2 linked regions of the Danio rerio genome follow. The protein of the gene in region 1 interacts with the protein of each later gene in a pairwise test. Links are inferred from orthologs where the notes say so. Each region holds a gene or a part of one and is shown on either strand. Other genes may lie near its edges.

Region 1 (4,543 bases):
GATTACAAGTGGTTGTGAACAGCACAATACACCCTGTGAGCACTATGGGTCAGATTACTCGCTCTACCTGTCTCTTTATCTGTCATGACATGGGCTCATTTGAACAGAATTTGCCTTTTGATGGGTTAAATTAAGCTGAAAAAGATGTGTATGTGTATAAGTTGTATTTATTTTTTTTCTCTTATTTTAAATATTTCCCAAATTATGTAAAGTTTTCACAGTATTTCTGACAATACTTTTTTCTTCTGGAGAAAGTCTTATTTGTTTTATTTCAGCTAAAATAAAAGCAGTTTTTAGCTTTTTAAAAGCAAATATATATATATATATATATATATATATATATATATATATATATATATATATATATATATATATATATATATATATATATATGTGTGTGTGTGTGTGTGTGTGTGTGTGTGTGTGTGTGTGTGTGTGTGTGTGTAAGTCTTTTTTTATGTCGACAGAATAAACAATCGTTATATAACGATTTGCCTAATTATTCTATCCTGCCTAATTAACCTAGTTAAACCTTTAAATTGCTCTTTAAGGTGAATACTAGTCTTGAAATATATCTAGTGAAATATTATTTACTGTCATCATGGCGAAGACAAAATAAATCAGTTGTTAGAAATGAGGTATTAAAACTATTATGTCTAGAAATGTGTTGAAAAAAAAATCTGCTCTCTGTTAAACAGAAATTGGGGAAAAAAAATTAACAGGGGGCTAATAATTCTGACCTCAACTGTATGTTCTAGACTATAAAGTGTGACAGAGCCAAAACTCTGTTTTTTTTTTTGTTGTTGTTAACAAATGTTTTGTAACCTTATAATTGTCTTGACAGTCACCTTTGATTAATTTAACATGTCCTAGCTAAAAAAAGATATATATGTAGTTAAAAGCATACCTAACTGACCTCAAACTTGTGCATATACTGTCTCGCATGTATTCATTAGACAAGCAAAAAAATAAGGATCCTTTTGGAATTAGCTTTTAGAATGATGCACTGTTGCTAACAACATCAGCTGCAATGAAAGAGTTGCTAAGAGGATGATGAGTAACCTAGTAATCAAAAGCAGTCAGAGAACTGAAGAGCTCTGGGACAGAAAAGTGCCCGGGGGAGTTTTTCATCCTCTCATCTAATTTGTGCTCTATAAATTCATCTTCCCTAATTCTTCATGTAGTCCGCAGAAATTTGTTTCAAACAACCATTAATGATTCCTCCCTTTCCTCAGTAATGAACGTTTTTCTGACAATCCTCTGGTTCTTTTATGTACCTTCGGAAGGCCTGATGGCTTGCACTGCACATAATCATCCAACCACTGGTCTTCCATTTCTGCCAGCTCCAGCTGAAGCTCCTGCTGAATGCTGGAAGGCACATCTGGAAGCTGGGGGAAAAGTGGACACTCCATCTCAATGTGAGGCACTTGCAGCAGAGGGTAAGGGCTTTCCATGGGTGTAGTATTAGTTTTGAGGAGCACAGGGATCCGGCTTCCTCTCTGGCTCTGGAGAGGGTGATATTCACAGCTTTTAAGCAGGCTTAGGGCCACATCAAGGCCACACACAGAACCAGGTTTGGACTCGGGCCTTCTGACAACAGATTGTTCCTCCTCAGACTCTAGAAGTGGGAGCTTTAGATAAGATTCTTGGGTAACATCTACAGCAGTGTCCAAAGACTCCACAGAGGAGGCAGGACTCACTCCGACTGGCTTTAGTTCACATGATTGGTTGTTCTCGATGGGTTCTGGTGGAGGAGCGGATGGGACAGTCTCTTCAGTGTTGTCCTGAACACTACCAGAGTACCGTGTGGAGGGCCCACAGGAAGTGCTCCGACCTACTTTTCTGGGAACCTTGCAGACAGCCTCATAATCTGAATCGGTCACTCGCAATGCAGCGCAGCCTTTACACTTCCTGGGACGTGGACCTGAAGCGGCATCTGCATGGTGAAGAGGGCATTGGTGGTCTTGAATCTGCTCTTGAGGGCACTGCTCAGCCCAAGACTCATAGACAGAGTATGTGAGATCTTCCTGCAGGAGGGCACTGTATTCAGCTTCGGCCAACCTGGCAAAGTCCACCACAGTAGCGTCTGTGGCACCTCCATCCACTCCCAATTCATCAGTGTTGTTTTTGCGGTACAGTCCACTGATGCATTGCCTGAGCCTGTCTTTCTCCAACAAGAGCTTCTGCATCCGCTCCAGGGATAAGGCCTCCACCCTGGCGATCACAGTGTCAAATCGGTACATTCTGTCCAGCATGAAGGCACACTTGCTGCAGGCGAACTCTCCTCGGCCATCCCGGGTCATTTCTCTGCCCAAAGCATAGGAAAGCAGCACCTGCAGACTCAGCTTGGCAGTTGGGTGAAAGATCCATCGCCGCTGGTTACCATACAGCTCCCTTGCACAAATCCGACACACGTCCTTACTCTTTGAGTCCAACATCATAAATATTCAATTGAATAACAAACTAAAGATTGTTTCAAATTTAAACCATGAGTGAAAGTGAAATAAAATCTCATGGCATGTAAAGTTCCTTCTTTTCAATTCTTCCTTAATGTCCACCAATGAAAAGGAAGACATCTATGGTTTTAAAATGTACTACTATTTATTGATTTAAAGATACTATAATTTTAAGTCAGGTTGTTTATCACAGATGAGATAAGGCCTTTAATTCATTCCATTCAACCCTCTGTCTTGTAATATTAAACGTCCTTAATTATGTCACTGAGGTCATTCTTTAGGCAGATTTACAGCAGCAAACAAAACTCGAATTTGATGTCGAGATGCTCGTCCTCGTCAGAAGAGATGAAGACGCGTGTTTTGTCCATCACCCGCGCGTTCCCGATTACGTTTCATTCGCTCTTCTGTGAAGACGCCGACATGACAGGACATCAGTTAAATCCCACCGTCCGACTCCAGTTTGAAAAACGTGTCATTTTATATAACCGCCATTACCCCGGAGTATAAACGGAAATAATATCATATTCTATCCCCGGGTCGTCACACTAGAAGGTTTGACAGCAGTTTGTGTGTATAATGTACACACAGCTGAGCAGCGGACGATGTGGCAAGAAAAGAGAGAGAGAGACAAAATGGCGCGTACTATTTCCAGAACAAAGAGGGGTGTCAAAATACCAGTTTGTACAAGATATAATACAAATTTAATGCGCAGGAACGGCGGTTGACTCCTGAACACACATCGATATTAGGGATACGCCATAAATCGCAACTGTATCAGTCATTGCTCGTAAACGGAGTTTTTATAAATTATCCGATCACCCCTCGCTGTGTGCAGTGGTACCGGTCAAACAATGGGAACAAGCCAAGCGAAAGATGACACTACTTTACATACTTATTTCCATTTTCGTCAAAGAAAGTGCGGCTGGGAAAGTGATTTATTTACATGGCTTCTTTCTTGTTTCAATCTAATAATAACAGCTTGTTTGTTAATCTAACTTTATAGATTGCTAGAAAATACTTGAACTAAACCAGTTAAGTATATCACAGATTAATATTCATGGTTAAACATAAATATTTGTTTACATTAATATCAACATTGATAATAATACATGTGTTATTGTAATAAGAACATTAATTAATATGGTTCAGCATTGATTGTAAATGACAGCAGTAAAGACTGTCAACTGATAATTTACAAAGTGTGAAACACACAGATTTGTTATTAGACCTAATATTCATGGTTAAACTTGAATATTTGTTTACATTAGCATCAACATTGATAATAATACATAAGTAATTGCAATGGGTCTATTAATTACTGTAGTTCAGCACTGATTGTAAATGACAGCAATAAAGAATGTCAACAGATAATTTACAAAGTTTTAAAAACACAGATTTGCTATCAACGCCCACATTATGAAGACAGTCAGATCCATCTCTTATCAGGTAATACAGATTCTACTGATTAAAGCAAGAAATAACTAAATGATGTCAGTTTTTATAGCGACATCTGCATGTTCTGGTAGTTTGTGTAGTGGATTTGTCTTTTGAATGTCTCTATAATTTACAGAGCCTTGACAGAACACCAAAACACAAACTTGCCTCAATCAAAAACCTATTTGTTCTAATCAGGCAAATGTAGCATTTTCTCATTGTTTGCGTCAGCCAGTCACAGTGACGACAAGGAATTGTGGAGAGACGGTAAGATTAACTGCAAGTTTTCATAATTATTCAGTGTACAGCGTGATGTAATTGTTTATTTTGAGCTCTAAATTCACGGCAAAAATCACTTTGAAGAAATATTTCAGTTCTTTGCTAAAGTTTACCTTTGTGTTTTACTCTCTGCCCCAATGGTAGCAATTTTTGGCTGCTCAGATTTTCTGAAGACTCTCAACCGAAATGTACAGTTACCAGTTCAGTATGGCATGATCACAGCAAAAAAAAAAGTCTCTTGTTTCTGGAAGAAAAATGTTAGGCTTCTTTTTCTGATTGGTTTCTTGGACTTACCTCCACATTTGGAAAGAATTAAATATACCACTTCTGGGAACTCTGCGAAATGTGAGAAAATTAGGGATCCAGTCCTTTTT
Region 2 (4,358 bases), on another chromosome or scaffold:
TTTCATGATTTTGTGACATAATGATGTGCATGACATGTTAACCTTATTATTGAATATTTTATTTTATTTTAAAGAATTTATTAAGGTTATGCTAAGTCTCAAAGCTAAATCTTAGAAAAGGCGACCAACAAATCTATAGTTTTAGTTCTCATTTATACCAGGGGATGGCGCCACTGTTATAAGAACATGAGCGTGACTTCTGTAGTGGTGTAGTGAATTTTCACTTTGTCCATGAAACCAAATAGACTTTTATATAGTTAACACAGCCCTCAGTCAATCTAATATGAAATAGATGAAATATGTATATGGGAACACTTAAACACTGGAATACTTACTAATAGCATGAAACTTCCACAATCAGTTTTGTAGATATGGAGCAGAAGTTCTCCAGATGAAGGATTTGCTCTGCAGACATTCTTTCAATGTCAAAGGAAAGGTAGAATAATTCATATCTGCACAAAAAAAAAAAAAAAAACATATATATATATATATATATATATATATATATATATATATATATATATATATATATATATATATATATATATATATATATATATATATATTATTGTTGTTGTTATTATTATTTTTATTATTATTTTATTATTATTATTATTTTAATACCACATTAGTATTAAGTAAACTAATAACTGTAAAACTAAATATTTTAAGTATATTTTAGTTGAAGAGTCATGTAAAATTTATAATCATATTTAATCAAATAAATTAACTACATTTGATTACAAATATATAAAGACAAATACATAAATATATAAGTAAAAATGAAAACCAATTAATAATGTAATATAACAGAGACTAAAAGTAACAGAAAATACAATAAATATATCTAAACTTTTTCTTAACATGCAAGACAATATTCAGGGAGCTGTGATTTTATGCAGATGTGAAAACTGTCAACTCCTTTAAATAATAAATATTATGAATGTACGGTTCTTGTTGGTCTTATGCTGTAAATGAGGAATTAATTCCGTATAAAATGTTTTTTTATTTAAAAATGTTTCATTTTGGGGACCCCTTGTGCGCTTACCGAGGCCCCATAGTGGGACCCGGTCCCGACGGTTGAACACCTCTGCCCTGTCCAACCTCAACAAGCAGACAGCCACTCTCAACCGCAATCTTTCCTTCTTTGAACAGTGTGTGTCGAAGTCAACCTCGCCTTCTTTTGATTGGCTGTATTCCTCATTCCGCTTGAATGGAGTGCGTCATGATTGGCCACAGCCTGATTGACGTCATCCTGCGAGAGGAGGTTTACTCTGGGTTTTTTTCTGTCACTGACACATGTAGAGCACAAGCGACAAGCAGCGGCGAGACATCAGCGCGCGAGAGAGGACAGTTACAAACACAAGCGCTCTCTTCATCTATGGAAATTACCGAAGACCTTGCCGACAGCTCCATCAACAAACCCGCCGCCGAGCTTTTCAGTGATAATAAGAGCATCTGAGAAAAAAGGTGACGGCAACAGTGGAAATATAATCTGAAAACTCCATTTGCTTGACTCTTTCGCAGCAGCGAGAAGTGTTCATCCACGCGCTGCTCCGTCTGTGAGTTTGTTGGACTGTGCGCGTTATTTTTTATATATTTTCTACAGAGAAAACAGACTGCTGTACATTTCTCACCACCATTCAACCATTACATTTCAAAGAGGTAAGTGCACTTCTCTTCAACTAACCGTATTTTGCTTTATGAATGGTAATATTTCGTAGTTTGACGAGACACGTTTGTTACGGAGCGACAGAATTGATGTTGCAGAAAAACACTACACACGAAAGCATAAAAGATTACAGTTACTTAATGACTAGATTTTATGTATTGTGCTTGTGTGCAAATTGTGTTGCATGTCACGCACTTATACCGTAATAATGTACGTTAGTGAATTAAACATGAGCGATGCGCGTTGTTTCATAAGAAGACCACATAGGTTATTTAGACGTAATCTTGGAAATTGCTGGCATTTCGAGTTTAATATCTTATTAGTGCATCTTAAGTGCGCGCGTGCTGTACAGATGGTCAACAAACCATAACACAAGTGCAATTCTGTCCATGTTGCATTGTGCATTCTGGCAGGAGCAGCTGTATTTAGTCTCCAGCACCGCGATCTGTATTACTGGCCATGGGCTGCTGATCTGTTTTATATTTCTGCACATCCCCTCTCTTAAATTGCCTGTCCGTGTAATTACTTGAGTTTGCCCATTTGACTTAAAAGCCACCCCCTCCCTCTCTTCAAATCTCCCCTCTTCCCTCTTCCAGGGAATGAAACTTGACGATGGTCCGATCTTATTTATCTGGGGGAGTCACTTTCGGTCTCTGATTCATCTCCCTTTAGATTTAATCAGCACTAAGGTATTGCTTGTCCCTAAGAGCCTCCACTAATGGGGTTACTGAATGCCTCTCTCTCTCTCTTTCTCTCTCAGTGCAATGTTTTCTACCCCCCGCCTCTCTCTTCTCCTCTAATTACCTTTCAACAAAGATTTGGCTTACAGCCTTTCACGAATATATCTTAAATTTTAATCTTTCCCACTTCGGTCCAGCAGCCCTCCTTATGAAACCTGGGAAACATTGCACACACACAGTACTGATGGATCAACAGAGCAAAGCACAGAACTGCAATCGTAAATGAGGGTTTGTGGTTAATGTGATTTCTGTCAGAGGCAGATATTTCTGTAGGCCGGCATTAACTGATTTCTTGCATATGCAGAATGATCCAACATAGTAGGGGTAATTTCACGCAGCAGTGACCAGTCCCCAAAGCGAATGCTGCTGAATGTTCTTCATGATGTTGGCTGGAAATCCGTCATCTGATAACCTTAGTGAAAGCAATTGGAATATGTCGACCTCTGAATGGGTCGTACAACTTTAAGGCTTCCTCAATTAACTTCTCCAGTTCTGGCAACAGTAGCATTTGGATTCCTCTCTCTCTTTCTCTCTCTCTCATGAAGGTTCAGGAAAATGTACTTTTAAAGCAATGCAGACAACCTAACAAAAGCCAGTGCTTCTAATTGTTCCAGTGACTTTAATGTTATCAGTGAACAGACATTTATCACAAATGGACCAAAGGAGCTGACTTCAGCACTTAGATAAAGATCAAGGACAGCCTGCCACTTTAAACAATTCTCAGACTTGCTTGAAGGCATTATATGCATTTAAATTATTTCAAAAGAGCTTTTAGGAAGCGTGCCTCCCAAAACATTCAGTGTTTTAGGTCACTGTTCAGGCTCCAGGTGTTTTAGATATTTCTAAGACAAAACTTCTGTCAGAAGTTGAGGAAACTTAGGTGTGCTTGCTTTGTGAGATGTGGATTTAAGTAATGCTGAATGCTTTTATAGTTACTTTTCTTTCTTTTTTTAACTGTGTGCAAATATATATATATATATATATATATATATATATATATATATATATATATATATATATATATATATATACTTTTGAAGTCAAAATTATTAGCCCTCCTGTTTATTTTTCCCCAATTTCTGTTTAAGTAGAGGATTTTTTCAACACATTTCTAAACATTTGTTTAGAAGTTTGTTCTGTAGATTTTTAAAGAAAAAAATAGCTTAAAGGAGCTAATAATATTGACCTTAAAATAAAAAAAAAATAAAAATCAAAAACTGCTTTCATTCTAGCTGAAATAAAACAAATAAGACTTTCTCCAAAAGAAAAAAAATATTATCAGACACACTGTGAAAATTTCCTTGCTCTGTTAAACATCATTTAGGAAAATAAATAAATAAATAAATAAAATAGGGGCTACTAATTTTAATTTCAACTGTTTGTCATTTGTTGAAAGGGCTTTTGATTTGTATTTAGCTACAAAACTAGAATATAAAATAGTACTCTTGCACACGCATTTAAAAACTGCTTAACTCTTGACTTACTGCTCCAGTGTTTCTCCCTGTCTCTTTATGTTTCTGCAGACACAATGGTGAACCCTGGAGGAAGTGCCCAGCCCCCACCTGTTGGAGCGGGATCTCTGTCGTGGAAGCGCTGCGCGGGCTGTGGGGGAAAGATTGCTGATCGGTTTCTCCTCTATGCCATGGACAGCTATTGGCACAGCCGCTGTCTGAAATGTTCCTGCTGCCAGGCCCAGCTTGGAGAGATCGGCACATCCTGCTACACCAAGAGTGGCATGATCCTATGTAGAAACGACTACATCAGGTTAGACACATCCATTATTGATTTTAATCTGTCACAATCACAGCCTCACTCATGTGTTTAAGAAAGATGTCAGGCAGTGAGTTTTTTTTTATTTTTTATTTGTGTTCATCCTCTCAAGTTTTGCTTTCTGGTGTGCTTGCGACATTGATTTGAAATGGGCTCTTCAGTAATGTGTTCTGAGT

The links.
Region 2: the proteins of pde4dip (region 1) and lmo4b interact in binary tests that used the Homo sapiens proteins (3 or more experiments, as listed by UniProt). The two-hybrid records come from large-scale screens. The link is inferred for Danio rerio from reciprocal best matches to the Homo sapiens genes PDE4DIP and LMO4.

The regions. Positions count from the first base shown.
Region 1 is NC_133195.1:37,868,472-37,873,014, reverse strand, and holds the start of pde4dip (myomegalin), read right to left. Parts: upstream 3,076-4,543; 5' UTR 2,442-3,075; coding exon 1,278-2,441; intron 1-1,277. UniProt on the Homo sapiens protein: Functions as an anchor sequestering components of the cAMP-dependent pathway to Golgi and/or centrosomes.
Region 2 is NC_133181.1:28,423,832-28,428,189, reverse strand, and holds the start of lmo4b (LIM domain transcription factor LMO4b), read left to right. Parts: upstream 1-1,294; 5' UTR 1,295-1,665; intron 1,666-3,935; 5' UTR 3,936-3,940; coding exon 3,941-4,176; intron 4,177-4,358. UniProt on the Homo sapiens protein: Transcription cofactor. Plays a role in establishing motor neuron identity, in concert with MNX1, acting, at least in part, to disrupt LDB1-LHX3 complexes thereby negatively modulating interneuron genes in motor neurons.